Linked DNA regions of Oryzias latipes. The protein of the gene in region 3 interacts with the protein of the main gene of each other region in a pairwise test. Links are inferred from orthologs where the notes say so. Each region holds a gene or a part of one and is shown on either strand. Other genes may lie near its edges. The genes, in order: beta-taxilin, dihydropyrimidinase-related protein 1, vim, sirt6, ess2, mrpl44 and sumo2.

Region 1 (3,951 bases), on a different chromosome or scaffold from region 3:
AGAACTGTCCTTAGCAACAGCTGGAGCACAGCGAACACCGGTCTTCTGTTTTTAACGGGTAAACAAACGGTGATTCTCATTTTAAGCAGCCGTGAGGCGGCAGAAACAAAAACGTGGGTCAGAATTTCACTACGTGGTCAGAATCTACAAAAATCTAGTATCTGAAATTTCCCCAAAGTCTGCAAAAAACCAGTGTGCATCGATGATTGCCAACCATAGACCATAATGCATTGCGTTTGAACAATTTTTGTACAAAAAAAGGATTTAAAAACGCTTTTATAAACCATCCAAGTTTTCATCATCATTGATTCGTAAAATGTCTTTGCCAAATATTTGCATTGATTAGGTTTTTACTTAGTGAAATCGGTGACGTCATATTTGCGTTTAGAAAAAGAAGTAAGGAGCGTGAAAACCGGGTGTCCACTTAAGCTAATGGGGGCAAACATGGAGGGCCCACCTATGTTCTGCGTCCTGATTGGCTGTTGTCCATCAATCTCTTCGACAAATGCATTTGTTCTACCGGATCTACATAAATCTTTACCCGCATTCTCATTTTATAAATCTTGGATGTTGTTTTTTATCAAGGTTGGAACTTTTAGGGGTTTAGACAAAAAAGAGAAAAGTGTGAAGATGTTCCTGCCTGTCTGAGACACGGGGATAACGTGAAGTGAGGAGTTCTACAGCCTTAAACGTCTGTCATCCTACAGGGGGTTATTTTGACACCGTACACTAAGGAGCAGCGCACACAATAATACTACAATGAATGTAAGAACTCTTGAAGAGCAGCAGGGAAGTCTGTTTTGTTCATTGTTTTCAGTGCAGCGGATGGCGGAGCTCCAACAGAGAGGGAGAAGCTTCTCCAGAACCGTTCCCGGTAGTTTCCAGCCTACCTTGGTGGACTTGAAGGAGAAGTGGAGAAAAAGACTGAAGATGTTTCTCTGGACAAAAACAAACAGAGATCAAGGATTATTCAGAGGTTTCCAAACAGAATCTTGAAGTGGACGATCAATCTAAGGATCAGGCACTGGAGAAGACCGATCAGCTGCGTTTGTGCGCTTCATGATGCGTTTGGTGAGAACAGCAGACAGACTGAGACCACAGTCAAAAGATAACTGGGTTTTATTCAGAAACTGGTTTAGGGTGAAAGCTGCTGATGTTATGGTGATGTAACGGCGTCTTTCTCGTTTCACTAGAAAGCTTCCTCATTCTGTTTCCGTATTTATTACCAACCAGGACGAGATCCTCTTAACAGCAATGGAGGCAGCTTTCAGAGGTTTTGACCATAAAAAGGTAAGAAAACTAACTTCTGCTCAGCTGGTAGCTTATCTATTATGTCTACAGTTTTTTATGTTCGTTGCAGAGGATGGTGGTGTATTTATTAGCTGTTTAACTTTTGCTTTAGTTTAAAGTTTCATAAAGTGTGTGTGGGGGGGTTGATTGGCAGGTGGGTATCCTTGTGTCCCGCTCAGTTCGTCCATCTTTGGGGTAGGTCTCCATGTTTAGGTCTGTTTCTAAAAGTGGTCTTTTAACGAGGATGATGCAGTTTTTAGCCAAAATCCAAAAATCCCCTCGAAGCTGTTGGTGGTACAATTGGCACAGAGTAATCCTACCCCCTTCTCCCATCATCCATCTGTTTACAAACACTCCCTCTAGCTTACAGCCCCTCACAACCCCCAACCTAACGTCAGAGCAGCATCAGATCCATCCATCCGTCCGGTTCTGATCCAGATTCCAGCTCAGACCAGGAAAACAGAGACGTTCATAGATCTGTTGGTCTGCAGGTGGATGATCAGAAAGGGGAGGAGCTAGGAGGTCGTGGCCCACCGGGCGTATTTTCTACATCACAGACACGATAACAGCTTTTTTTCAGCTGCTCCTGATCTGCATTGATTTGGATAAAGAAATGCGGCTTTAAGATCTTTTTTCATTTAATTTTTTATAAACGTCCTCCACTATGACATGAATGCTACTGAACGTGTTAAAAACCCCAGAAAGAGCGCCTTGATGGGAGTTTTCACAGCACAGCCGTGCGTTCTGCCGTCGCCGGCTGTGATTTTGTCAGCTTGTGTCAGTCTTGTACAGATCCTGTTTGTGAGCATAAAATTAGTGCAGCCTTGGCGCTGCCTGTGCTTTCACAAGCGCAGCACATGGCACCTGTTCCACAGCCACTAGCTATTTTAGGAACTTCTTAATATGGGAGCATTATTTATTTATTTACTCTCTAATCTCCTCGTAGTGAAGCCAGAATCGGCGGTTGTGACACCAACAGCTCTCTGGTCTCTATCTAGCTCAAATAACAGAGAGGTCCAGCAGCAGCAGCTCAGTTCTGTGAAGGATCTGCTGTAAATTCAGCATTTTGACTGAGGAACGCGTTCAAACAGAGACTTGACAAAGACTCGACGGAGCAGGGATGGATTTCTCACTGCGGTTAACAGCCTCTCAAACAGCTGCTAGGTTGCGTGCAACACTTGTTAGTATGTTAATGAGCGGATTATTTCCAGCAGAGGCTTTTTCGTGGTTATTTTTCATGGTTATTTCAGTGCAAAGGCCTGCTGAGAAGCAGGACAGTGAGAAGACACGGTCTTACCAGGACCAAAGGCCGGAGGGGAATAGGCAGCGTGTCGAGGGGCTCGGACGACCTGCCACCACAGACCCAACAGCTGTGATAAGACCTCCTCAAAATAAACCAGGGAGGGGGCTCAGTCTGACAGGGAGAGGCAGGACGCTCTGCTGCAGGGTCAGAGCTCCCCCACGGCTCAGAAGGTTTTCCTCTAAACTGGTTCATGCAAAGCCTGGTCTGCTCTGCGCCGCCGCTGCCACAGCGTTGCTGCTCCTCGCCGTATAAACGCAGGAGCTGATGCTGACAAATAAACCCAGAATGCAGTTTCACAAGGTGAGCGCTATTCTTAGAAGCGTTCATTTATTCTTCCTGCTGCTGTGATGACGGCAGAGATAAATTCACACGTGAAGTCGTCCCTGGAAGGACTTCGCCCCACTTTTCACGCCTTCTTTTTTTAACCTTCAATTAAATGGAGGTGATTTCCAAATAAAATCATGTCATATCGCTGAATATATATATATGATTTAGAATCATCACGCATAGATGGAAACATTTCAGATCAGGATGTGTTCAGCTAAAGGTCAGTCCTCTGAAAACGGATCCTTTCCATGTCCTCAACGTTTGGTTTGAGTTTCTGCATCAATGCTCTGTGGTTTGGAGACCACCGTCAGCGTGTGGAGCTGCTGAGCTGGAGCAGTCCAGGTTCCTCCATAAGTTTTTACATTGTCTGTCTTCAGGTCGTCTGCGTTGTCTGTCTTCAGGTCGTCTGCGTTGTTTGTCTTCAGGTCGTCTGCGTTGTCTGTCTTCAGGTCGTCTGCGTTGTCTGTCTTCTGGTCGTCTGCGTTGTCTGTCTTCAGGTCGTCTGCGTTGTCTGTCTTCAGGTCGTCTGCGTTGTCTGTCTTCAGGTCGTCTGCGTTGTCTGTCTTCAGGTCGTCTGCGTTGTCTGTCTTCAGGTCGTCTGCGTTGTCTGTCTTCAGGTCGTCTGCGTTGTCTGTCTTCAGGTCGTCTGCGTTGTCTGTCTTCTGGTCGTCTGCGTTGTCTGTCTTCAGGTCGTCTGCGTTGTCTGTCTTCAGGTCGTCTGCGTTGTCTGTCTTCAGGTCGTCTGCGTTGTCTGTCTTCAGGTCGTCTGCGTTGTCTGTCTTCAGGTCGTCTGCGTTGTCTGTCTTCAGGTCGTCTGCGTTGTCTGTCTTCAGGTCGTCTGCGTTGTCTGTCTTCAGGTCGTCTGCGTTGTCTGTCTTCAGGTCGTCTGCGTTGTCTGTCTTCAGGTCGTCTGCGTTGTCTGTCTTCAGGTCGTCTGCGTTGTCTGTCTTCTGGTCGTCTGCGTTGTCTGTCTTCAGGTCGTCTGCGTTGTCTGTCTTCAGGTCGTCTGCGTTGTCTGTCTTCAGGTCGTC
Region 2 (3,500 bases), on a different chromosome or scaffold from region 3:
TCCACATAATATCTTTTCACATCTGTATCCTTCGTGTTCTCACCGACTGTTGCTGTTTCGCAGTGATGGTTTTGACAATGTCTGGGTCCCAGATGACGATATCTGCATCAGAGTCCACAGCGATGCGTCCCTTACGAGGATACAAGTTGAAGATTTTAGCTGCGTTGGTTGATGTGACTGCCACAAACTGGTTCTCGTCCATTTTCCCCATGGCCTAAAGAAACAAAAGACACAACGTTAAAGATGGTTTGGCTGACAGTTTACGCAGAAACACACAGGCCCTCAGATCTCACCACAGCCTTGTCCCAGACGAAGCCCATCCTCTCCTCTACCCCGTTGGTTCCTTCTGGGATCAAGGTGAAGTCATCTTTACCGATGGCTTTCTGAGATGTGCTGTAAGCACAGTGAGAGCTGCCCACAACCTGCAGGTCCCCGCTGGGCCAAACAAACACAGCCAAAGACATTATAAACACATAAAAGCGTCAATAAGCCCAAAACAAAAATATATACTATTCATTCCCAAAAATCAAGATTAAGCAGACAGTTCAGAGAAAAAAAGAGATGCCCTCATGTAACCTAACTGAAAAACATGTTGCACTTTTGTATAATTTAATCAACCGCCATATAACTATGACAATCAGTAATATTGTTTTCTTCTAAATAATACTATTAGATGTTATACTGAACTAGGAGGACATCCAATCAAGCAACTAAGCATTACTGCTGCTAAAACATGATGGGCAGCATGAAAATCTGACAGGAAGCTCTCGACCATAGAAAAAACAAATTCTAAAAATACATTTTGTCCTTCAGGTAAGGATCAAGGACAACAGCAGGATCACACGACTGCTGCGACAGCATTGACACACCTATAGAGCAGAGTAGGAGGAGGAGGAGGAGAGAGGAACTTGGTCACCAAGGCAACTAAAGATGAAGGATTCTGGTTCCTAAGCTATTTTTAGCAACAGGAACAGTCAAAATCAACAGTTTTTTCTGGGCGTGTGCATGTGTCTGAGGTGGAGCAAAGCTGGGTTTTTGCTTCATCCACCTCCATAAAGCTTTGGTCTATAAAAAACTATATAAACAGATTTGTAAAAAAAAGGGATACAATATAATTAGAAAATGTTGGGATGTATGGCAAAAATAAAAATAAAATTGAAAAGACTTAACTCATACCTGGCCAACAGGGTGTGGAGATGTTCTGGTGTGGTGGGGTCAGGACTTAAAGGTGGAGAGGTCACATAGGCAGCTGCTTTGGCCCAGTTTTTGCTCCAATAATGAGAACCGTCCGTCGCCAAGCCAGCTGTAATTGGTTCTCCAAATACCACGGAACCTAGAGTGGAAAATAACAGAAGTATAACACTTGAAGTCGATGAACAAATAAAGTTATTTCTGAAAAATATAATCAAATGTTAGAAAAGGTTAAAAAAAAAACAGAGCTGTGCAAACCTTTTCTGCGGGCCTGAGCGATGGTGTCAGCGGCACTCTTGCTCATCACTTTTGTGATGTAGACAGGACAGTTCACACAGTTACCGAGGGTGATGGCACGAAACACAGCCTCAGCTTCCACCTGCATAGAAAAATAAAGGCAGATTGATGAACCTCTGTGCTACTCATGAACTGATACTTATAGGATATAAAAGATACCTCCTCAGGACGACTCAGAGGATGCCCTTCAGGACCAGTGATTCCCATCCCAAGGATTTTTCTTTGTTCCTATACGAAGATTTAAAGAATCATTGTCATATATTATACTCTGTCAGGATTAAAGCAAGGGGAAGTGAGCTGTTAGTCACAAATGTAATCTGAGTACTAAATTATATCTAAGTTAAGTAATGAAGACAAAGTTTAACAAATATTTTACTGCATTATTCGCAAAAGGCTGGTTTCCGTGTTTCTCCTTGAATAATCTCCAGTATTAGAAGTAACTAGTTACAGCAGCAAATTATTTTAGATATCTATTCAATTTTACTCATGTTCAGTAACTTGTAAATTCCAAAAACAGACAAACCGCCCAAAATAAAAATGCTAACTGAGATCATGATATTTTATCAAATTAAAACAAAAACCTTTAACAAGATCTTTTTGGGATATTGTTGATTACTTCAAAGAGTTTTGAAATTATGTTCATACTTAAAATAGTGAGCCAATTTTCCTAGAGATTACTAAAGATCATAGACACAAACTTTATTTGTCACTTTCCTCAATAACTATTAGGTCCTGTCTTTTCTCTGAACCAATATCTGTCGGTTCTGTTGTTGTAGACTTGGTGTAGTAATAGTAATCTGTGTTTAACAGGCACTATTATTGTTTCAGTCTTTCTGAGACACATACGTCTCAGGTTCTGTGTTCAGTACATACCGTATATTTTTATTTGATCGACTAAACTACCGGTAACTAAGCTAAAGCGAAGAGTTGGTCCTGTAATTTGTAGTCCAATGCTTAAAAAAATAATATCTAAAACCATTAAAGCATATCTACTACTTTTGCAGATATTACAAGAAGGTAACCAATAGTATTGCAAGAGTCATGTATCACATTACAATTCTTAGATATAATATTGTTAAGGTCAGGTTTTACTTTTGAATACCAATAGAAAGTAATCTTTAATGCATTAGCTTGGAAGTAACTTGCATAAAACTGACATATCTCTATATGTTAGATATGTCGGCAATCATTTCATTAGTACTCAATGTATTATCAATGATCCTAGCTGTTATTCTACACTACCATTGTCATATCCAGAAGTAATATCAGTTCTGTTGCATCTACAGGCATCCCTTAGCATCAGATTTATCTGTCATTAATCTGATTATAATCAGAGGTAATGATCTCCAAAATATAAGTCATTAAGGGCATAATGACCTGCTTAATGTGCATCTGTCTCTACTAGGTGTGAGTTTACGTAGATAGAAAGACAAAATGATGTATTCACCTCAAAAATCAGGTCTCCGTTTTCGGCATGTACTAACACAACAGCCCCCAGCTGCTTCAGAAAGGAGAATGCCTCATACAGCTGTGGATGTATAAAGAACAACAAACAGTTTAACAGAAAAAAATTAAAGGCTTCTAAAAACATCTTTTTGAGAGAGAAAAGGATTTAGTGAGTTTGCATCATTTGGGCTCTTAGGGATGATGGTGCATACCTGAGAATCTGTCATCTGGTACACATCTTTATAGGCCATGTACACTTGAAAGGAGTTGATACCTGAAAGGAGTAAAAAAAAAACTGCATTGGCTTCATTGGAGCAACAAGAGTAAATCATAATAAAATCATAATTCTGGGATAAAAAGAAGAAAAGAAAATCTAGGAAAGAGATCTATACTAATTTAGGAAGCAAAGCATCATAATAAAAATCATATCTTCATATCCTAAAACAACTCTTCCAAATTAGAAGCCCTTTAAGACACAGAATACTTTTACAATTCCCACAAACAATTATTTACTTTTACAAAGGATTATAGATGAAGCATGTCCCTTGTGTCACAAGAACGGGCAG
Region 3 (4,296 bases):
CCTCGCGGGCTGAAGGCCGTGTCACACAGCCACTATACGTGGTCATACGTGATAGTTGCGCCGTGTGCACAATAAAAATATTATGCATCTGGAGATTGTGCGTGAAAAGTCTGTCAGACAAACGTGGAACGGTTGTAGAAGGTCACAAATTTGCAAATGCATCTTGCAGAAATCACACACAATTGCGTGAGTCTTACGCGTATACTGTACTTTAAATATGCGTAAACTGCGTAATTTTATACCGACCAAAAATTTTGAGCAGCTCAAAACCTAAAATCATGTAAAGGCCCGTTGGCTGAAACCCTCGACGGACATCTGCGCACATCCACGAATGACGAACGCAAGAAACACTAATGAATGACGTAAATCACGCATGGATCAAAACAGACAGACATGTCATACGAGGGAAAATGTGCGATATGTAGGTAGTGGCTGTGTGACACGGCCTGCTTCCTCGCAACCAAAATTACCTTTGTACAAAGACACTAATTAAGCTAAAACTGCTAATATTTTGTTCAACATAATCAGCCGTTCAAAATCTGAAACTTACAACCGACATTTTTTTCCCAAGTAGGTTGCCAGTGTTGTTCGAAGAGCTTTGAGGTGATAGACTAAAACCACTATTAGCACTTTATTAAAGATCTTTTAATGGAAGAGTCCAGATGGCAGCCTAAAAAAAAACAGTGGCCAAATTTGACTCCTTGGGTTCTCCAGGGTTACTACGGCTGAAAATAGGTGTCTCATTATTTGTCCACATTCTGACCAGATGTGCACCTAATTTATGACAGGAAACCAGCAGATTTGTGTGAATGAATAGAAAGGAACCTGAGGTGGCCTTTGTGTGCCTGCATAGCTTTATTTTAGGAGGGACAAGGGAGCAATTCACTGGGACTTTTCTAAAATACCTTTTGTTCAGAGCATCCCAAACCACCAAGCATTCCTGTAGAGCTTCCTAATCTCTTTTTTTTATTATTAGCTGACTCCACTCTCAAACTAAAACTCTCCACGGTTCATTAGACTAGAAAATTAATTCCATTATTAAAAGTTTCCCTTTTTTTTTCTTTTAATCAGTTTCTTTTTCTCTTAACTCACATGCACTTGCAGTGGCACCGTGCAGCTTTGCAGCTTTGTCGGGGCGCTGGCAGGCTTGTAATTGACGTATCAGCAAATGAAGCAGCAGCACCCCCCTCCCACACTAATGCCACAAACAAAGTGGGCTATTCAGCAGGGTTTTCCCAGCAAGCCCCAGGCTGGGAGAGTGACTGTCTGCCTGACTGAGCAGGAGCTGCGGCCGCCGCATTGTTGTCTCAGTGCCATCCATCCTGTCGCTCACACAAATTCCACATCAAGCCATTTATTTTCTTAAACAGTCGTCAGAAAATGTTCACTTATCTTGAAACATGAGGCCTTTTTTTTTTGCATTTACATGATTCACCATGACACCCTGTGACGGCGGGACAGTCCCACTGCCACACCAAAACAAGTGAGAGTCTGATGATCCGGGAACGGGACAGCTCTGGTCACATGTCTGATCCCTCTGAGATCCACACTGTAGTCCTGCCCTTTCTCTGTGACTAGTCAGACTCAAACAATCTGCTTTCACTGCAGGCCTGACTGAGCACAACACGCCAAAACTTGGCCTCTGCAGCCAGGGCCAGGTCAGCCTGTACTCTACCGTTCCACTGGCTCAGCAGTAATCTGCTGGGGAGCACATCCGTCCCACGGCATATAAAAACCTGCTGTTAAATAGATGGAAATTAAGGTAACAGATTTAACGTTTTAAAAGGTTTGGAAGTGGAAGAACACTGCAGAACTGGAGAAATTAAGATCAGCATCCCGGTTCTCACTAAGAGTTCTGCAGCAAAAACCTTTGAAAATAAGACATTTGTGTTTTGTTGGGGTGGAAAGGATTGAGTTGGATCCAGCAGTACCTGTCTAAAGCTTTGCATGGTTGCCTCAGCCTCCTCCCTCTGGGAAATTTCATCACGCAGCCTGCAAAAGTCAGAGAAAAGACACTTTTTCAAGACTTATTGGAATTGGGAACTTTCTCTTAAACTTTTTTCATGTGTTTCCGTTTCTATTTCTGCAAACTTTATTTCTATAATATCAGTGATGTGGGGATATTTTACACGACCAGCCACACAGGCCTACAGAAAAGCGGAACCACGAGGGCCACGCCCCCTCCCCTACTTCTCTCTCAGCCTCTCGATGTCGTCCGCCAGGTTGTCCCGGTGCACCTCCACGCGCGCCTTCTCGTTGGTGAGCTGGTCCACCTGGCGCCGCAGCTCCCGCATCTCGTCCTCGTAGAGATCTCCGATGCGGGAGGTGCCTTTGCCCCGCAGCTGCTCCAGCTCCGCCAGCAGGATCTTGTTCTGCTGCTCCAAGAAGCGCACCTTCTCGATGTAGCTGGCGAAGCGGTCGTTGAGGGACTGCATCTGGGCCTTCTCGTTGGTCCGGTTCGTGAGGAACTCGCTGTTGACGGCGTCGTGCAGGGAGAAGTCCAGGCTCTCGGAGGCCAGCCGGGGCATGGCGGCGCTGCTCCGGAGCCTCTGCGTCTTCACTGCGTAAACTGGGGCAGAGGAGAGACCAAAGGAGACCCGGCTGGACCGAACCGGGCTGGAGAACTGGCGGCTGGAGTAGCTGCTTCTGGCCGAAGCTTGTTCACCCCCAAACATCTTCTTGTAGGAAGAATGGGGGGCAGATCTGTAGGACATCTTCAGCTCCGGGGGTGATGCTGCGCGCGTTTGGTGCGTCCTGAGCTGCGTCCGCGGACTGCGCCTGGATGGGCGGTTCCTGCATCTTCACCCGCTTATAGTCTCCTCCTTATGCAAATGCGGCGGTGGGTTTTGAGTGACGCGTGGTGGGTCCAGTAAAGGATCTCCTCCTCTTCGGGCTCCATTTATAAACTCTGAATGGAGCTCGTTATCCAAGGAAGAGAAGAATTTGTGATCATCAGATTCTTTCACACTCAATTTTCTTTGATTCCTGAAGAAAAGCATAATCCACAAACCAAGTGACTATTTGGAATCAGATCTTCATCCATTTCATGCTTTAACTTAGTTAAATATTTGCTTTTTTTTAATTTGTTTTTTTCCTCCTTGGAGCCTTTGGTCATTTCAAATGTGTCATGAGACTCCCCCCTCCCACCCCACCCCAACCATACTAAAAGGGTTGATCAGTGCATGAGGTGGTCTTGTGCAAATGTGTCACACGTTTTGGAAATATTTTCCAATGCGAGGACAATAAATACTCCATGTTTGCAGTGTTTCACTGTCAGTGATCTGGAGAGAAACTGGGAGACCGACTGCTCCAGGATTTGAAAATGCAGCTTTCCAGACAGACTGCCGCTTCAACCAGTTTCAAACATGACAAAAATTAGTCATGATGCTCTAATCCTTTTTTTCCTTCCTCTTGTGCTCTCTTTTCTCACTAGATTTGCTGCTTTCTCGCTGCTGAATTGCACAGATTCTGCAGGAAAACATGCAGCAAAGCTGAGTCAGTGACACTTTAAACCTCCAAAGCGAGCCTCCTTTGGTGTTGCTGGGACCTTCGGGCGTTGGTTTATCATCAAACTTTAATTTATTGACAGGCAGGTAATGGTGTGAAAGCTGCAGTGTTACTGAGTTGTGTTCAGGGATACACTGAAAACATGAGTAACCTAAAAATTGGAAAAGAACACTAAAGATCACTAGAAAGCAGTAAATGTATCTGTTCATGCAGCAAGTCATTTTAGTTTATGAGAAATCTTTTCATAAAATATCAACGTAAAGAAACAAGGAGTTCCACATTAAAAAAGGGAGAAATAAGCTCAAAAAGTTAACAGAATTACTTCAAACTGAAGGTTAAACAACCCAATAAAAAGGTTTTTTTACAAAGTTCTAAGCAAATTGTTGTATTTATTGAGTTTTAATGAACCTAATTGTACTTTTTCTTTTTTATTACAGTGACAAAACTCTAGTGTAATTAGTGGAAATGACTCATTTTAGACGTTAGTCCATTTGAATAAATCCTCATCAAATCTCAAACTAGCATTTATTCTTTGAACATAAATCTAAATTTCTGTTTCCAAAATAACGAGTGTCAGTCGAACATAGATTGAACTTTTGAGATTTTTTGAGTCTTAAATCAAGTTTTTCTTTTGTCAAGAATACGCAGCAAAAGGATTTGGATTCATTTTGGAGAATCATGTCCTAGCTCCTAATGGGACGAAACATTCTGGACTGTGCTGATTTTGAGAAAAGCTTGTAGCCTTTTCTGGCTTCGATAGCCAGAGCTTAGCTGATTTAAACAGATCCA
Region 4 (3,500 bases), about 6.9 Mb from region 3:
TGACAATAGGAAAATTTATAGGAAATTACCAGCTATTGAGATCATTGTATTCATACAAGTTGCAGGTTTTATTAGCCTTGAGATTTTCAGACTAAGGGATTTTTTTCCCCCACAAATAACAAATGAAAAAAGGTTTTCTTATATGAAAATATGTTGCTTAAATAAAATTACATTAAAAGTATAAAGCTATTTCTTATTGCTATGCATATAAAACTTAAAAACAATAAGCTTGAAAGAAAAAGAAAAGCCTGGCAGAAGAACATTTTAGAGAAATAAAGTCATTTTTGTTGGTGGTAGCAATCTGTGGAGTGCGGATGCTTTTGAAGTCTAAATTTCCATAAAACTTAGATAGCGAGTTATGATTGCATGCTTTCTTTAAATTGGATAGACTCAGAAGATTTTTGTGTTTTTTTTCCTTTTGTCTTTTGTTGAAAAAGTCATGGAAAAAAAAGTTAGGATGGCGCTACCTCTGATCTAGGTAGAATGGTGCTTTGGAGTTTATAGGCATTTTGATACATATATGGCTGTTAGATTTTATTTTGACAGAGTTTATCCAATTTAAACAAAGCACGCAATAATTCCTTTTGTAGAAATCCATACTTTCAGGTATGTAGCATCCCCTCTTCCCAGATTTCTGCCACCAATGCAAATGACTGTAGGAAAAAAGGGTGAGCGTGTGTGCTGGACATAGGGCCAGAACTTGTCCGGGTCACTAAGCTGTCATTCAAAAACATTTGGCCAAAGATAACAGAAGTTGCAGAAACGCCTCCCAACTGTGGGAAATGTGTCAGATTTGCAACTGCAAAAAGATCAGGTGACACGACGGAACACAAACACTTTAAGCGTATTCAGCGGTGGGGAAAAAAAAACTATAAACCTAAAAATAAAAATAAAAGAATATTCTGTTAAAAAGAAAAAAAAACAGCAATACTACTAAAGCCTATTCCAAACTTTTTTGTGCTATATTCAAAGCGTTCTCAGTGGTCATTTTTTATGATTATACTCTTTTTCCACAAAATCCCAAAAACCTCAGTCATTTTCTAAGACATAGTTTCTGCAGAGCAGCAGTGGTTTATTAGAAATTTGGTTCTGAGTTGTGGGCGGGACTTTTGGCGCAGAGCAACCCCACCCTCCCTTTCCTTCACCACCGCAGAGCGGAGCAGGGAGCTTGTGGCCCGCCCACCGTAGTTTTTATGTCACAAATAAGCTCTTTGTGAAACTGCTATTTTTTCGTTTGCTTCTGATTCACAACAATCTGAAGAAAGGCATAGTCTGCCACAAGCACACATTAAAAACACCATTCTCGTCGGTGTGGGTCTTCATCAAAAATGAAAATTGAAGGGTTGCATTTGCAAAATAGGAGATGGCCTTATCGCGATTTCTAACTTTTGCATCAAAATAGAAATTTTTGCTTAAAAAACAGGCTCTCTTAAAAATCCTGCAATACAAACCACAAAAATCTAAGAAAAACATAAAAATGAAATAAAAATCATGCACCCAAGTGGTCATTTGTAGAACTACAGTCTCAGCGTGTCTGAAGATTTGGGTTAGGATCGTTTAGACAACATTCTGCTAGTTGGCAAAAAAAAATAAAAATCTGTTAGACTAATTAAAATGCGTCTTTGGATTTGTATTAAGAATTTTAAGGACATCAGTAAATGTTTCCAAGAAGAACCAGTTGATGTGTGCGTGTGTCATTACTGAGACGTGTGAGTGACTCACATGCTTTGTGGGCTGCAGGTTGACTATAGCTATCCTCCCTCCTTTGCGCTTTGTGAGGAGTGGGAGGTCTCCGCTGGGTTTGATCTGCATGGACGTGCCCAGAGTCAGTGCCAGGTCTGCTTTCCTGCATGCCAACAGAAGGAAAGAACATCTCGCCTAAATAGGACACCAACGTTCTTATTTGCCCATTCCTGCTGAAGGGGGAAAGCATATATGTAGGTGTACATAAAAGAGTTGGGGGGAAAAAAAAGACCCTGCAGTTCCTGGGTGAGGTGGTTGCAGAGAAAATGTCAAATCAATTTATAATTAATGGCGTCACTTCAACATGGGCGTAAGATTAAAAGAAATTAGTGTTAGATGAAGTTTCAATCATTTTCAGCTGTATAAAAACTGTTTTTTTGGGACAAAATGTTAAGTTCAAAACTTGGAATCCCGGTTTCTCTTTATTTTTACAAGGTAATTAACGGGTGAAGTTCAGTTTTTGAACTTATTCGTACTTACAGTGGCGATGAAATACAGAAAATGCACAGCTTTTTGCTAACTCTATGCCCATCTCTAAAATAGATATTTCAGTGCAACAGACTTCCATTTTGCAGCAAAATCTTTTCCTCGAGGTTCTGTGAGCACATATATAACAAAATAAGGAACATAACTCCTCTCAAAAAGCGGAGGTATGCACAGCATGATAGCAGACTGCCTTCAAGATTAAAGCCCCTCTGTGCTGAATGACACGCAGCTTTTTCCCATTTTCTTTCTGCCGTCAACAAACAACCCAGGGTTCAAAGGTCGCTGCTCCAAATCTGTATTTTTTTTCCTATTTGAATAGTAATTCAACATCTATTATGTGGCTGCACATCAAAGTGACACACAATTCATCTTACTGCTTTTAAACATGCGCTAAGAGGTTTTATGGATAAAGGACAGAATGAGAATCTTCTGAGAGAGGAAACATTGGATGCAAAATGGTGATCCGTGAATAAACCCCCCCGAAAAAGGGGGCTTTCGCTTCACCGTTTCTCTGGATGAGAGAACGGCGACACCAAAGCCATGCAGCTCAAACAAATCAATCCAACACTTCATTTCACATTTCTCACAACAAAGCAAAGGTTTACTAAAGCTGCTGCTGTTTGGCAAATGATGAAGAAGGAATGTCAGAGGAAATAAGCGCTGAAAAGAGTAGAATCTGCGCGTTTTGTGGTTATAAAGAATCCTGATGAAACAAACGATGCACCTTCGATCGTCTCACCTGCTTGCATCATCCGCTCGGTTCAGATCCCTGTCAGGAAGTGCGTCCTCCCAATCCAATATTGTGCTGATCAGCTTCCCTCTTTTATAAATCAAACAACAAAAGCTTTATTGTGACATGCCGTTGGTAAATGTCTGAGCTGCAGGAGCCCACCATGAGTTACCTGCAGCCCCTCAGTCCTCTGGATCGCACCACACTGCAGAAACGGCCTGTTGGTTTGAGTCCCATCACGCCAATCACCTTGTCTCTGACATATTGTCTGGATAACGACAGATCCCACAATGCAACAGTCACTGCACACATCTATTTTCTTTCATATACAGGTATATAGAAGTACATGGGGAAACAACAGAAAAAAAATGTGAGAACAAACCTGTAAAATATGAGAAAATAGCCTAAATTTTACTTTAATGAAGTTGAAAACTTACGTATGAGAAAATAATTCAAGATTTAACAACAACAACATTTTATTTGAAGAATGTTGTAAAATTATGAGAAAAAAGTTTACATTTTGCAAAAATAAAGTCCTACA
Region 5 (3,939 bases), on a different chromosome or scaffold from region 3:
CTTGCTTCTTTGCACGGTTTTTAGCCGCAGCTTCATTCGCCATCTTCAGACCCAACCTTTCCCTCCTTCCTGGCTCCGGAATCTTCAAAAAACAACAACAAACAAACAATGGCAATGTTCACATTTTTAAAAATGCAAAGGAGCTAGAAAACAACAATTATTTCATTTATTTTTTTTAAGTTTGGCACCTTAAAGGATGGGCCATGGTTTCTCTCAATGTATGGAGTGTCTGAGCCGTCCAAGCGAAATGGGGTGCTCTCAATCTCACCCCAGGTCATAAGAGGGGACTCAGAAACACCTAAAAAACAACAAATACTTTTAGTCGAAAGCTTCTTAAGGAGAAAGAGCACATGAAACCCGCCTATAGATAATTTTGCTGCCTCAAAGGAAACTTCAGCTTCAGCAAAGTTAGGGAAAAAAAAGAAACAGCAGCGTGTTTTCTCCTCAGAAAAACAATTACTATGGTAGCAGATGCAAAAAAAAAAAAAAAAAAAGACAGTGTATACAGCTCTGTGTTTACAGGGAAAACAAAGGCATGACAAACCCGCTCTGCTGTGAAACTATGGGTTAATCTTGAGCTGGACAGACATATTAAGATAGGATCCCAACAACTCCATATAAAGTTTTAGTCTTCAGGCACAACCACGGTGGTTTACTCACCAGGTGCGACCAAAGGTGTTCTCTCATAGCTGTATCCGTTCACTGTGGGGGATTCCTGTGGGATTAGCTCTTTTCCATCCGGACCAACTTTTCCCTGTTTAAACTGAAAAAAACACAACATCATGTTAGCAACACGATTCAGGAAAAGATGACTTGTTAGTAGCACTGCCAGGTAAGAAAAAAACACTTCATAGCTGTACACATGAGATACTTTAAATTGTGTTTTAAAATAAAACAGTGTACCTGTGCGTTGAGAGCTGCTGCCTGTTGTATCTGGCTTTTGTTGAGAGCGTTGCTAAAGGGGTCTCCGGAAAACCGAGTGTTCTTATGGACCACTTCTCTTGGTTTTTTGAAGACACTGTCGTCATCTTTAACACCTGATAAAATAAAATAAAAAATCTCAAATAGACTGGGCTTACTGTAAACCTTCAGTATAGGAAATAATTTAAATGAATACTTTACCCTCTGGATAATACATAAGGGCATTCTTTGCCTTGTACTCCCACGTCTCTAGACCAGCTTTTACACATTCTAGCGCAGCTTTCTCCGCCGGTGGTAAAGCCAGATTATTCTCGTGGCGCTGAAAAGAAAGAAAGAAAGCTTTTGAGGCAAGACATTTTCAAAGCATTATCGCTGCAATTTTTGGATGCAGTTATATGGCAGACACAATTAAACTGGTAAACGTTAACTCACAGATTTCATAATTGGCTTACATAAGAGAGGCCATGAGTGTATTACCACAAAATCTCTAATGTAGTTGTAGCTTCAAAGCTTGTCATGTGAGCCTCACTATCATAACTGCTTCACACCAACCTGTTTGAACTCTGCCTCTGCTTCATACAACCAGGCATGCTTCAGCTTCTCCTTATCTTCTGCCAGTTCCATTATCTGCTCAAAGGAGGCATTATCCTCACTGGTAGTTTTGGCAAGAAAACGGTCCAGATTGGGAAGCTTTTTGTCTTCCCCATCATCCTCCTTATGCTCTATAAAATCATACATGAAAGACAGGGATGATTTAGTGCTCGCCAACTGTAGGCCTAACATTTTCCATTTCATGCTTAGCAATTTCTGAGCACATGGATAAAGAATGTAACATATAGACAGATGACTTTTAAACAGGAACTGAGGTTTTTAAGCCAATTTATATGAAATTGTGAACATGAGACTAAATCGTTACAAATGTAAATAGTTGATTACAAACATTTAAAACTAACCCCCTTCAGAAACTTTGCTGCAGTGATTGGAGGATGGAGATTTTGGACAGCCCACTGGGGTTTCAAAGCTGGCTGGGGTCACATCTGGCTCACAAAGGAAAGGTAAGACAACAGAATAATAATTACAACAAATCGAATAAAGAAGTTTTGTTTTTCTTTCCGTCTACACAAACAGAAACAGAAAGACTGGTTTATTACTCACAAGGTGCAGAGGATTGTGGGGTTGATTTGGTCAAATTAGATCCAAATCGGATGGATATCTCTCTCATTTTCTCAAGGTCTCCATTCTCTTCTGCTTCTAAATAATCCCTTTGAGCTTGCAATTTTGTCACATCTGGGAAAAAGTCTCTTTGGATGATTTTCTCTAAGCTCTATCAAAAGTAGACCAGAGAAAAACACAAGACAAGTACAGTCAGTTACAAACCAAAATATCGATCAAGCTAGCTCACATGAAATCTTCACGCAGTCGTAAACATATCGAGACGCTGGCTTCGTTACCTCAATGTACTCCTCTTCATCGAGGACTTTTCTCTTCAGCTTTCCTTTATCCTTTGGCTCGGGCTCACGAAGAGCTACTGTAGAGATCGCTAAGGGAACGAGCGTCCCGGACAACGCTCTCCTCACGCTTGCGCTACCCTCCATTATAGCCAAAGAATTAGCCTGCTAGCCTGGAAAGTAAAGGCTAGCTTCCCACTTCAAACAAACACTAAATATAAAACAGGAAGTGATTATTTAACTCGATAACGGCGATTTAAATTTCTTACAAGCGTTGTGAATAAATAATTTGGATAAATCAACCCTCGATGTTAATCAAAACACCCGTAATCAGAACGGACTTACGTAATGTCTGATCACTAATCTAACCGGAAGCTCTTCTCTTCTTCAGTTTGGGAGAGAAATGTGACCTTCATTCCAGTTTGACTGGCACTGCCATCTAGTGGTAATTCCTTTTAGTGCAGTGCCCACTAAACGTTTCCTCCTGTCACGTTTTCCTTCACCCTCAGGTGAACTCTTTACCTTTTTGGCTTTCAGTGTCAGTCTATTTCTTTTCTGATTAAATCATTTATACCTGCCACAATATTTTTTTATTTTTATTGTTTCATAGCAACATGTAAACTGAAACATATGCAATTATAATACACACATGAAAAGCAATATTTCCAAAAGGAGTTAACAGACAGAAAAAAGAAAGATAATAGAAACAAGAGGTTATTTAAAGCAGTTTAAGCTTTTTTCTAGGTAAGCCTGTATACTCACATGATTCCCTTTTTCTCTAATGACAACACTTCCCGTGAAATTCTAAACATCCTTACACTACATTTTTTCAATAAACAAGCTGGATACGTGGACAGCAGCAATTTCTGTTTAACTGCAGCTTAGGAAAGAAACAGGTTTAAAACCAAGTGTTTGATTTTTCCCCAAAGTACCTTTTTAAAAATGTGGATTTAGTTTTGAATTTGAAATTTATAAAATTGTATCCAGTGACTGAGAGTCTAAAAAAGACGGATGTGTCAGCAGGAACCGATCATGTAGGTCCCAAAGTGCTAAAAAAAATAGGCTTGTGGCAGACATTAAAATTTTATTAAATAATCATAGTTTTGGCAAAACGATTCAAAAACAGAAAAAGCATGAAACAAAATGTGTAAAAAAAATTGACAAAGCAAATGACCCATGAAAAGTAAAATAAGCTTAATATCAGACATTAAATGCACTGAAGATGATTGACCTGAAGACAGCTGTGGATGATTATCAAAAGAAAACCAATAAAACTGGGTCTGAGGAGAAATCGAAACCCGGGAAATAAACCATAGCTAGGATCGAATAAACCAAACAAAAGAGGCACACAGACATTTATAAATATTTTAAGTCACATAATTGGAAATGGAGATTGTAACATAAGAGATTGCTTACGGTATGAACCCTTTCAGTTTCTTTCATAGGCATATTCACCAAATAATTCATCTGAATTCAATCCCATTTCACTTAGACATTGCAATATTGACTAAACATATTTTTTCCCACCCCTTGTTTTTTATCAAAAAGAATCTGTAGTTTTAATAATAGA
Region 6 (4,192 bases), on a different chromosome or scaffold from region 3:
CCTCCTCCTCTTCCTCTTCCTCTTCCTCCTCCTCATCATCTTCCTCATCATCATCTTCTAGATCTGGCAGGTCATCGACACACAGTGATGGAATATCTTCAAGGTGAATGGTTTCCAGCTGCTCCTCGTCATCCAGATTTGTGACCAGTGGTCCGGCAACATGAACTGGAGGAACCCCCAAGGCCTCCTCTTGTGCAGAAGAAGCTGACGTGCCACTGCTGTGTTCCTCACATGTGCTTTCTGGGGTTATGGCCTTCAGGCTTTCACCTAAAAGCAAAGAACTGTACTGTAAAAAAACAGATTTTTCTGAGTACAGTGTTATGGGATAAAACCAGACTACCTTGTTCCTGCAGCTCTTGAAGGGAACGTCTCTCCTGGGCCTGCTGTCTCATCATTGCCATTTCTTCCAAGTTCTTCTGGATCTTCTTCCTCTCTTTGGTTTCCCACTGCTCCATCACCCTCCGCTCCGCCTCCGGCCCTCCTGCTGCCCACGCCTCCGCACAGGCCCGATCTCTGGGAAACACTGGGCGGACATCAAGGAAGGTGAGCTGCTTCAAGCGAGCTATCAAGCTCCTTCGGTAGTTTGGGATCTTCCTCACCACCTCGTTTCCCATCAGATAGAGAACCCGCAGTTCTGGCATCGCCTCGAGTACACAGACAATCTCCGGATCATGCAAGCTGTTGTAGGACAAGTCCAGTACAGAAATAGCCAGGCATTGACGCAAATGGGCTACATCCTCCAAAGTTTCCAACTTGTTGTGGGCGACCTGCAGGGTGCTTAATCTGGGAAGGTAGGCGAGGTTCTCTAAAACAGAAATGTAGTTGTTGGACACGTTCAGGGTGCACAGCTTGGTCAGTGGTTGGAGGTTTTCCAGTTTCAATATTTGATTATCATTGAGGAACAAGCAGCGCAGATCAGTTTGGGCATCCAGGTTCTCGATGCGCTCCAGGGCATTGTTATGGAGCCAGAGAGACTTCAGGCCTGTGTATTCCTCTAGGTTCTCAATTCTGGAGAAACCCTTGAAATGCAGATACAATGTGTCGTTCAGGTGGGGTGTCATGTAGAGTTTGTTCTGCTTACAAAGATCCCTGAGGAACGCCGCTGTCATCCGTGGCCACAAGGAGTTTTCCTTCCCTCCAAGAGACAATCTTTGGAAAGTTTTCATTTCTTCCTGAGAGTCATCCTTCACAGAGGTGTTTAACTTGTCAGAATTTGAGGTTTTGGGGGGATTTTTGCTGTGGCCTTCATCGGTCAAAACCTCTTTGTCCTCCATTTCTTTCCACAGAGGAGACGAGTGTGGATGCGAATTGGAAATCCGAGATTTTTAACGAAATATGACGACCGTCTGAGTTGCAGTTTGAGCAAATGGGGCGGTTTGTGTTCGTTTCCATGGCTACGCGGGCGGAAAGCCGGTTGGTTGTTTCATGCCGGACGCTTTTAGCAGCTGCACCTGCACGCGCTGCTGTCAGGGGTGAAGGAAAGATGGCGGCGGGGTTTCTGTTAAACCGCGGCGTGTTAACTTTAGGGATTCACAGCCAGCGGCTGTGCAGAAGCGTCCCGCTTTTGCAGGTCAGAGAGAAGAAAAGGTGGATGAAGGCGTACACGTTTTTGATGGCGAAGAAGCTGAAGCTCGAAGGGCCTCCGCCTCCGAAGCCCCGGTAAGGGTCTGCAACACAAGTTAAGAGGCCGCGAACGGCCTTCTCATTTCTAGCAAAATAAAGCAGCTTTACCTAGATAAAACAACAATGTTTTAAGTTGCAATTAATTATTTTTCTCCTTGACCAAAGGACAACTAAACTAAAGAGTGCTTGCTTGTCCTTTTTTTCTTTCAATGTGACATTTTTGGACCTTGAGTTTGTGTGTGTGTGTGGGGGGGGGTGGGGGGGGGACAACTATATATACTTGAAAAAGTACCATAAGTAAAACATATAGAGAGACAGACAGACAGAGAGAGCAATGACAATGAAAACGTCCATTCAGTCCTTAAGCAACATGTGACTAAGGAGCCTCACCTGTTCCCCGAGGAGTCCCTCAGGGCTCTGTTTTGGTACATCTACAAAAGTACAATAAGTCAATGGATCATCATGTCTCTGAATTTATCCAGAGGAGTTCTGTTTGCATCTGAAGAAGGAAAAAAAAGAGTAGTGTGGTTGTAACACAATATTTCTTTGAAGTTAATTTTATTAGGTATACTTAAGTACAAGTATAGCAAATATACTATATAGACACCAAAACCGCAATTCTTTTAAGCCTCAGTGACAACAATACAGTTGTGATGTTTCAGGTCTGCTCATTCAATCCCTGTTTTGGCTCTTAGGGTAAAGGACAGGACTCTGGAGCCACACTAACTATAATATACAGTATAGACATGTGTATTTAATCACTGCCGACGTTACATTACCTACTACTACATTTGATGCATTGAGATTCATGTCTTTTATTTTGAAAGGACTACGTGTAAACCTGTCATGCTATAATTATTTTTTCCATATTTTGAAATCAGGTTCTGTTTTTTATTACTTCATTCTCTCCTGCTGAAATTGACTTGCTGGGATTGATGTTATTTAACTTCTGCAATTTGAGTCAACCTTGTTTTCCTGTGTTTCTTTATTTCTTAAATGTCTCAGTTTCACTTTAATGTTCTTACTCATAAAGTTGGGTTGAATAGTTTCTGCTCGTCTTCACCTCTGCGGCAAATGATTCATTTAAATATTATTACATTTTCTTTTAGAAAAGCAATTGGATTTTGTTATAAGAAAAACTCTTAACTGGTTAACTGTTTCTTTGGCCTTTAACATCTAAGAAATCCTTTAAAAAGTGACTTTTGCTTTTGAAAGTTGTTTTTTTTTTTTTTTACCCAAGCTTATTACTATATATACCTAAGAATATTGTCAAGAAAAGTGAGTCAAGTAGTAATGAATGACAAGTTTTTAGAGCCTTTCTTAAAGATAAAAAGAGAGTAGGTGATTGTGATTGTTGTGGCAGTAGGGATCCAGCATTCACCCCTGAGCTGCCGTTTTGCGTCTCTCAGGTTGCCTGTGTTTCATGTCTTGCAGGTGGCAGCAGCCTAACTGGGATTACCACGCCGAGGTCCAGGCTTTCAGCGTCCGCCTGCAGGAGAACTTCTCCCTGGAGCTTCTGAAGACGGCCTTCATCAACCCGTGTTATCTGCGCGCCGAGCGGGAGAGGAGAGAGCAGCTGGGAGTGGACTCTGAGAGCACGGCTCTGTCTCTGAAGGACAACGTTCAGCTGAGGAACAGCGGAGAGCGTTTCGCCAAAAGCTTCCTGAGCGACTGGTGCAGGGCTAACTTCCCGAGACTCCCGGTTGTGGGGGTGGAGAGCATAGTGGGGAACCTCACCAGCGCAGCCACCGTGTCTCATGTAGCACGAAACCTGGGCGTTGAGGACCTGAGCATGAGTGCAGACTTCCCCGTTCCCGACGAGGTTCTCCGCTCCACATTCATGGCCTTGATCGGAGCTCTGAAGGAAAGCAGTGGAGCAGAGCGAACGGGGTTTTTTCTCAGGGTGAGCGCTCAATCTGTGTTGATGTAGAACTGGTACGTTATTCCTTTCTCCCATCTTCCTGTTTCTTCCCCAGGATTTCCTGTCGACTCAGCTGATCGGAAAAGACCTGTTTGATTTGTGGACTGTGGTGGACCCCATGGGGCTGCTGGTGGAGGAGCTGACAGAGAGGAAGTGTCCTCTGCCTGAGCCTCGTCTCATCAGGGCTGCTGGAGCCAGCACTGTCCTGCCACTCTACTTTGTCGGCTTATACAGGTACGGCATAATACCTTACCAAACCACAAAGACATAATTATCAAACTAGTGCAGTTATGGTTGGATTCAGGATTGTTAAAACTACTTGCTTAGGATATTTTCTCTCACTTTTGCGTGGATGTTGAACTTCTCTGGTCTCCTGTCTTCCTCAGTGACCAGAAGCTCCTTGCTCAGGGTCCAGGAGAGACTCTAGTCGGCGCAGAGGAAGAAGCCGCTCGAGTGGCTCTCCGCAAACTTTACGGCTTCACAGAGAATCGCAGGCCCTTCGATTTCTCCCCACAACAGCTTCAGCAGCCGTTACTGCAGTCAGTCAGTAACTGAAACAGCAACTAAGCCTCAGCACCGAACTTTATAAAGGAGACGAGCCGGCGGGACGATAGCCTACAGGCTGAAGAGTTACTGTAGATTGGAAAT
Region 7 (4,091 bases), on a different chromosome or scaffold from region 3:
CTTATATAGGGATATAAAAACATATTCCTTGGGTAATACAAAGTTTAAATGATCTAACTACTTTTTAACGAACCTTTACTTTTTGTATAAGCGTTGTGATTATGATAGTTTTCCTGAATCGCCACCGTTTTGTGTGTTTGTTGTCTAATAGGGGATTATACTTACCTGTCTCTCACAATATGCCTTCATAAGTTTGATGAGCGGTGTGTGTCTTTTGATCTTGAACTGCACGACAGATCCATCCTGACCTGCTACCTTTAGATTTATGTGTTCGTTATTTTCAGTCTTCACTCCTTCCTACAAAAAGAAATAAATAAATAAAGAAATAAATAAATAAATATTGTAACGGTTTAAGAAACAACAAACAGGACAGGTCATTTTAGACACAAATAACAGTGGTTCCTTGCATAACAAATACCCCACACACAAAAAACTATCTGCCTTGGATGCCTGCATGCCTCGCAAAACAAATTAACATCACGTAACGAAGCCTGTTTGCAGCGAACAATTGATTTTCTGGGGGAAAAGGCCAAATCCAGACAGTTGTGTGCCGTGTCATTCAGATGAAGACTGTTACCCTTCGGTGCAAGGCTCGGTACAGTGCTTAAAAGCCGCCAATCATCCCCATCTCCTGGTTAGGTTATTGAAAACAAACAGACTGGACGCCAGTGTGATGGCAAACCTGGGCATGTTTGTTTTTTCCTCTGTTACACAATGCAGGCCAGAGCCTCTGGTTGTGATAAATGGTACAGACCGTCCTCTGGGCAGGACCACTATGGCAACAGCAGCCAGTCGCACCAAAACTACATCGCATGTGGGATCATAATCGCCCACTTACTTGTTGGTGGCAGGTTCCCATGAAAACCACAAACACGTGTAAATAAAACCATAAAGGTGGTGCAGCAGGCATTAAGAAGATAAAGCATGTTTGCCCCCATTTGGTTTGGTTTCTTCTGGTTTTTCTTTCTTGAATATTCTTTTTTTTAATACTATTTTTCTTTAAATTTGTAGAACGGATGACATGATTTTCCAAAGTCGATGTGAAATCTGGCAATGTGTGCAACATCGCCACAAAAAAGAGGAATAATGTAGGGAAATAAAATTTCCAGCTCCATCAAAAGAGCGCCGACAGGTGAGACGGACTCTCCTTGAGTGGCCTAATATTGAGTGGAGAATAGGTCTGTTCTTTAGCTTCAACAGGTTGAAGTTTCTTAGTCACCCTGGCTGGAAGAACTTAGCCAAAGTCTGTTTCTCCTCCATTTTTGAGTATGTTCCTGAAATGACCATGACCTTCAACAAATTCACTAGTCTGTAGACTTCAGTTTGGTTGGGGTGCCACTGAATGGACGTCTTGGTCCTACTTCTTAAGTGTGTTCTTGATGGTGATGGAAGGAATTGACCTTTTGCTCTTCTCATCTTCTGAGGAGAGTCATCCCCTTCTGTTTTTCCTTAATGGGTTTGTGTCCAGGAGGTCTTTTCTCCTCCTTGGTGATGCAAGTTGGGTCACTTCTTCCAGAAGAGGCCATTTTTGCTTCAGTTGAAAAGCTGATGAGGGCTGTGGCCTTCTTCCCAAACTAACACCTGAAATTCTCCTGCAAACCTCTCAGCAGCAGCTTTGTCGGTCCTAGCTACCTCTCCGTGCAAGGCCACTCAAACAGCCTTGGATTCTTCTTCTTCTGTTTTAGCTCCTTCTGCATTTGTACTTCTTTATTTCTTCATACCCTGACTTTCTCGCAGATGAGCTCTGCCTCCGTCTGCCTCTCATCTTCATCTCTGAATAGTTTTCTGACCTCGTTGCTGTTCCCCCGTGGTCATACAGTTCGGCAGGACGCACCTTGAACGTCAGGTGCAGCTCGATGGTTTCTTTCTTTGTTTCAATGCTCAGAGCTTTTCTGACCATTAACACACCTATTGATAGGAACCATTTTTCTTGGGGTTCAACATTCAAAATTTAGAGACTAAGAAAAAAAATTAAGAAGACCTGTCCTCCAATTAAGAAGACCTTTAACTTAAGGAAACACGATCCAAGACACACAACAAGTCACACCTATGTACCTGGATTTAACCATTCTGTTGTACCAGAAAAAAGTTAATTTAATTTATTTATTTACAAAAAAGGTTCGTTTTGTGAGGCAAGTGGGTTGCAATGTTTATCATGCAGATTGTTTGTTCTATAGTTCTTTATGTTTGTCAGAGTGGAAAAATAAAAAGATAAAATACCAGAATTACCAGGGATAGAAACATAATTGTAGGCCGTATGAAAAACAGATGCTAAAAAACACGTATTCATTGTTAAATATTAGTTTCAAGTATTTGAATATTTTATTTTTGGTATCCAGTTGTTATAACCCGTTTTCTTCAACGAGTCAAGCCAAAGTGTTGCAGACTGACTAGAACAGTTTAGTCTAGAGACTAAATACAAACAGTTCGTTTTCTTGTTTATTTTTTCCATTCTGGTGCGTCATTACAAAACACAGACAACTTAATTACCACACAAACACAACGCAAGAAAACCGCAAGATTTATAGAGAACGACACCAGCTGGTTGGCGGGATGTAATCAGCCTAAAAGCGACGTGCGCGCCAGTCCATGCGCGCTCACATACCTTCCGGTCCATCAAAGTAGGTACAGTTGAATCTTATCACTTAACTTTTTTATTTAAAAAAATACGAACAGCACACGCGGGAATGTAAATTCACCTTTAAGATCGGCGATCCAGTTAATTTGTAATAGCATCGTAATTGACAATGGGGTCACTTACCTTTGGTTTTTCATCAGCCATCGTCACTCTTTTGGCGCTTCTCTATGCTACCACACAAAGAATATGAGTGCGCGCACGTACTCGTTCCCGTTTAAATTATTCGGGGAAACGTGCGCGGGCATGTGTCAATGCGCGTTCACTGAACAAGGATTTAATTGGCCGCATGAAGTCACGTGGACTAAAGCGCAGTCTAGTTATGGGCGGGAGACTACCGCCTGCGCGTTACAGAGATACTCGGCTTCACATGCACGCGCACGGCAGAATTTTTCCCTTTTGTTTTTGGTTTAGGTCTATTATATACGAAGGAAATCTGTTCATCGTCACGCCGAAGACTAGTATCAGTGCTGCACGTTTCATAAAGCGCCCATATGATCGGTATTAGATGTACAGCGTGATATATTAGTACTCTCCTTATTTTAACCCCTCATTATAGCCCAGTGGCCATCTTGGTTTTTCTTTCTTTTTTTGTTACAATAAAAAACAGGCACCGACTAAACGACAACATTTACCGATATGGCGATATATTTTCTAAGATAGCTAACTTATATAACGTTTTAATGTATATTAACAATATGATACGATTGTATCTTCCTGATTCTGAGAATATGTTACACGTTTTCGGAATAAAATTACTTCGACTTTTAAATGTATATCGATTCTAAAGATAGTGTTATTTGCTTCAGTCATGTCAGTTTTCTTGACGTAGATTAAAAGTAAAAGAAAGTACTGTACTTGCAAATTTAAAAAAACAAAAAACAAAACAGGCATTAAGTAGGACAGTCCTACATTTGACGCATGCGCGAGATAGTCGTAGAAAAAGAGAGGCGCGCAAGCGTTGCTATATTATAGCACGTGTTAAATGGCATGATTAAGGTGAAAAAGTTCATAGTTTGAAATTTAAAAGGATCTAAAAAGTTTCATCCGATGGAGGAGGTAGACGTTGAACCGACGATAACCGTAAGTCTTTCGTACTATGTAGTTTATTGTTATGCGCTATCGAATAGCAGCTAACAAGTTAGCTAAGCATTTTGAATTTTGTAAATCCTAAAATTCGGAATAAAAAAATACACTAGTAGTTAATGATACAAACACAAAAGTTTATGATGAAATGTTACGGACCGACATTACGAGTTGGAGGTTTCGTAGCTAAAACAATGTCACAGTTGACATGTTCTTGGATATAAAGAAACAAACTTGGAACAATGGTTAGAAAATCAAAATGTAACGTTATTTTTGTCTTCTACGTTTTGTTAAGTTATTTTGTGCTTTGTCAAACAAAGAAAGGTAAGTCTTTTCCTGGACATTTTTGAGTCCAGTCTCTGTCTTAATG

What was found.
Region 1: the proteins of vim (region 3) and beta-taxilin interact in binary tests that used the Homo sapiens proteins (3 or more experiments, as listed by UniProt). The two-hybrid records come from large-scale screens. The link is inferred for Oryzias latipes from reciprocal best matches to the Homo sapiens genes VIM and TXLNB.
Region 2: the proteins of vim (region 3) and dihydropyrimidinase-related protein 1 interact in binary tests that used the Homo sapiens proteins (3 or more experiments, as listed by UniProt). The link is inferred for Oryzias latipes from reciprocal best matches to the Homo sapiens genes VIM and CRMP1.
Region 4: the proteins of vim (region 3) and sirt6 interact in a two-hybrid assay, tested with the Homo sapiens proteins (2 studies listed by BioGRID and IntAct). The link is inferred for Oryzias latipes from reciprocal best matches to the Homo sapiens genes VIM and SIRT6.
Region 5: the proteins of vim (region 3) and ess2 interact in a two-hybrid assay, tested with the Homo sapiens proteins (2 studies listed by BioGRID and IntAct). The link is inferred for Oryzias latipes from reciprocal best matches to the Homo sapiens genes VIM and ESS2.
Region 6: the proteins of vim (region 3) and mrpl44 interact in a two-hybrid assay, tested with the Homo sapiens proteins (2 studies listed by BioGRID and IntAct). The link is inferred for Oryzias latipes from reciprocal best matches to the Homo sapiens genes VIM and MRPL44.
Region 7: the proteins of vim (region 3) and sumo2 interact in a two-hybrid assay, tested with the Homo sapiens proteins (2 studies listed by BioGRID and IntAct). The link is inferred for Oryzias latipes from reciprocal best matches to the Homo sapiens genes VIM and SUMO2.

Annotation. Positions count from the first base shown.
Region 1 is NC_019880.2:1,119,718-1,123,668, reverse strand, and holds the start of beta-taxilin, read right to left. Parts: upstream 2,801-3,951; 5' UTR 2,786-2,800; coding exon 2,588-2,785; intron 939-2,587; coding exon 891-938; intron 1-890. UniProt on the Homo sapiens protein: Promotes motor nerve regeneration. May be involved in intracellular vesicle traffic.
Region 2 is NC_019859.2:12,435,185-12,438,684, forward strand, and holds part of dihydropyrimidinase-related protein 1, read right to left. Parts: intron 3,209-3,500; coding exon 3,147-3,208; intron 3,017-3,146; coding exon 2,936-3,016; intron 1,717-2,935; coding exon 1,648-1,716; intron 1,571-1,647; coding exon 1,450-1,570; intron 1,334-1,449; coding exon 1,177-1,333; intron 436-1,176; coding exon 294-435; intron 215-293; coding exon 44-214; intron 1-43.
Region 3 is NC_019875.2:29,289,743-29,294,038, forward strand, and holds the start of vim (vimentin), read right to left. Parts: upstream 2,801-4,296; 5' UTR 2,715-2,800; coding exon 2,191-2,714; intron 1,993-2,190; coding exon 1,932-1,992; intron 1-1,931. UniProt on the Homo sapiens protein: Vimentins are class-III intermediate filaments found in various non-epithelial cells, especially mesenchymal cells. Vimentin is attached to the nucleus, endoplasmic reticulum, and mitochondria, either laterally or terminally.
Region 4 is NC_019875.2:22,352,921-22,356,420, reverse strand, and holds part of sirt6 (NAD-dependent protein deacetylase sirtuin-6), read right to left. Parts: intron 3,228-3,500; coding exon 3,132-3,227; intron 3,050-3,131; coding exon 2,969-3,049; intron 1,847-2,968; coding exon 1,723-1,846; intron 1-1,722. UniProt on the Homo sapiens protein: NAD-dependent protein deacetylase, deacylase and mono-ADP-ribosyltransferase that plays an essential role in DNA damage repair, telomere maintenance, metabolic homeostasis, inflammation, tumorigenesis and aging.
Region 5 is NC_019870.2:13,790,326-13,794,264, reverse strand, and holds the start of ess2 (splicing factor ESS-2 homolog), read right to left. Parts: upstream 2,801-3,939; 5' UTR 2,517-2,800; coding exon 2,373-2,516; intron 2,246-2,372; coding exon 2,077-2,245; intron 1,959-2,076; coding exon 1,875-1,958; intron 1,644-1,874; coding exon 1,474-1,643; intron 1,241-1,473; coding exon 1,123-1,240; intron 1,038-1,122; coding exon 904-1,037; intron 764-903; coding exon 661-763; intron 299-660; coding exon 189-298; intron 83-188; coding exon 1-82. UniProt on the Homo sapiens protein: May be involved in pre-mRNA splicing.
Region 6 is NC_019871.2:22,983,078-22,987,269, reverse strand, and holds the start of mrpl44 (39S ribosomal protein L44, mitochondrial), read left to right. Parts: upstream 1-1,392; 5' UTR 1,393-1,483; coding exon 1,484-1,659; intron 1,660-3,057; coding exon 3,058-3,526; intron 3,527-3,599; coding exon 3,600-3,778; intron 3,779-3,930; coding exon 3,931-4,099; 3' UTR 4,100-4,192. Other genes in the region: dnaaf1 (dynein assembly factor 1, axonemal), read right to left, coding at 1-267, 341-1,274. UniProt on the Homo sapiens protein: Component of the 39S subunit of mitochondrial ribosome. May have a function in the assembly/stability of nascent mitochondrial polypeptides exiting the ribosome.
Region 7 is NC_019866.2:13,022,579-13,026,669, reverse strand, and holds the start of sumo2 (small ubiquitin-related modifier 2), read right to left. Parts: upstream 2,801-4,091; 5' UTR 2,783-2,800; coding exon 2,762-2,782; intron 298-2,761; coding exon 166-297; intron 1-165. Other genes in the region: nuclear pore complex protein Nup85, read left to right, coding at 3,686-3,718. UniProt on the Homo sapiens protein: Ubiquitin-like protein that can be covalently attached to proteins as a monomer or as a lysine-linked polymer.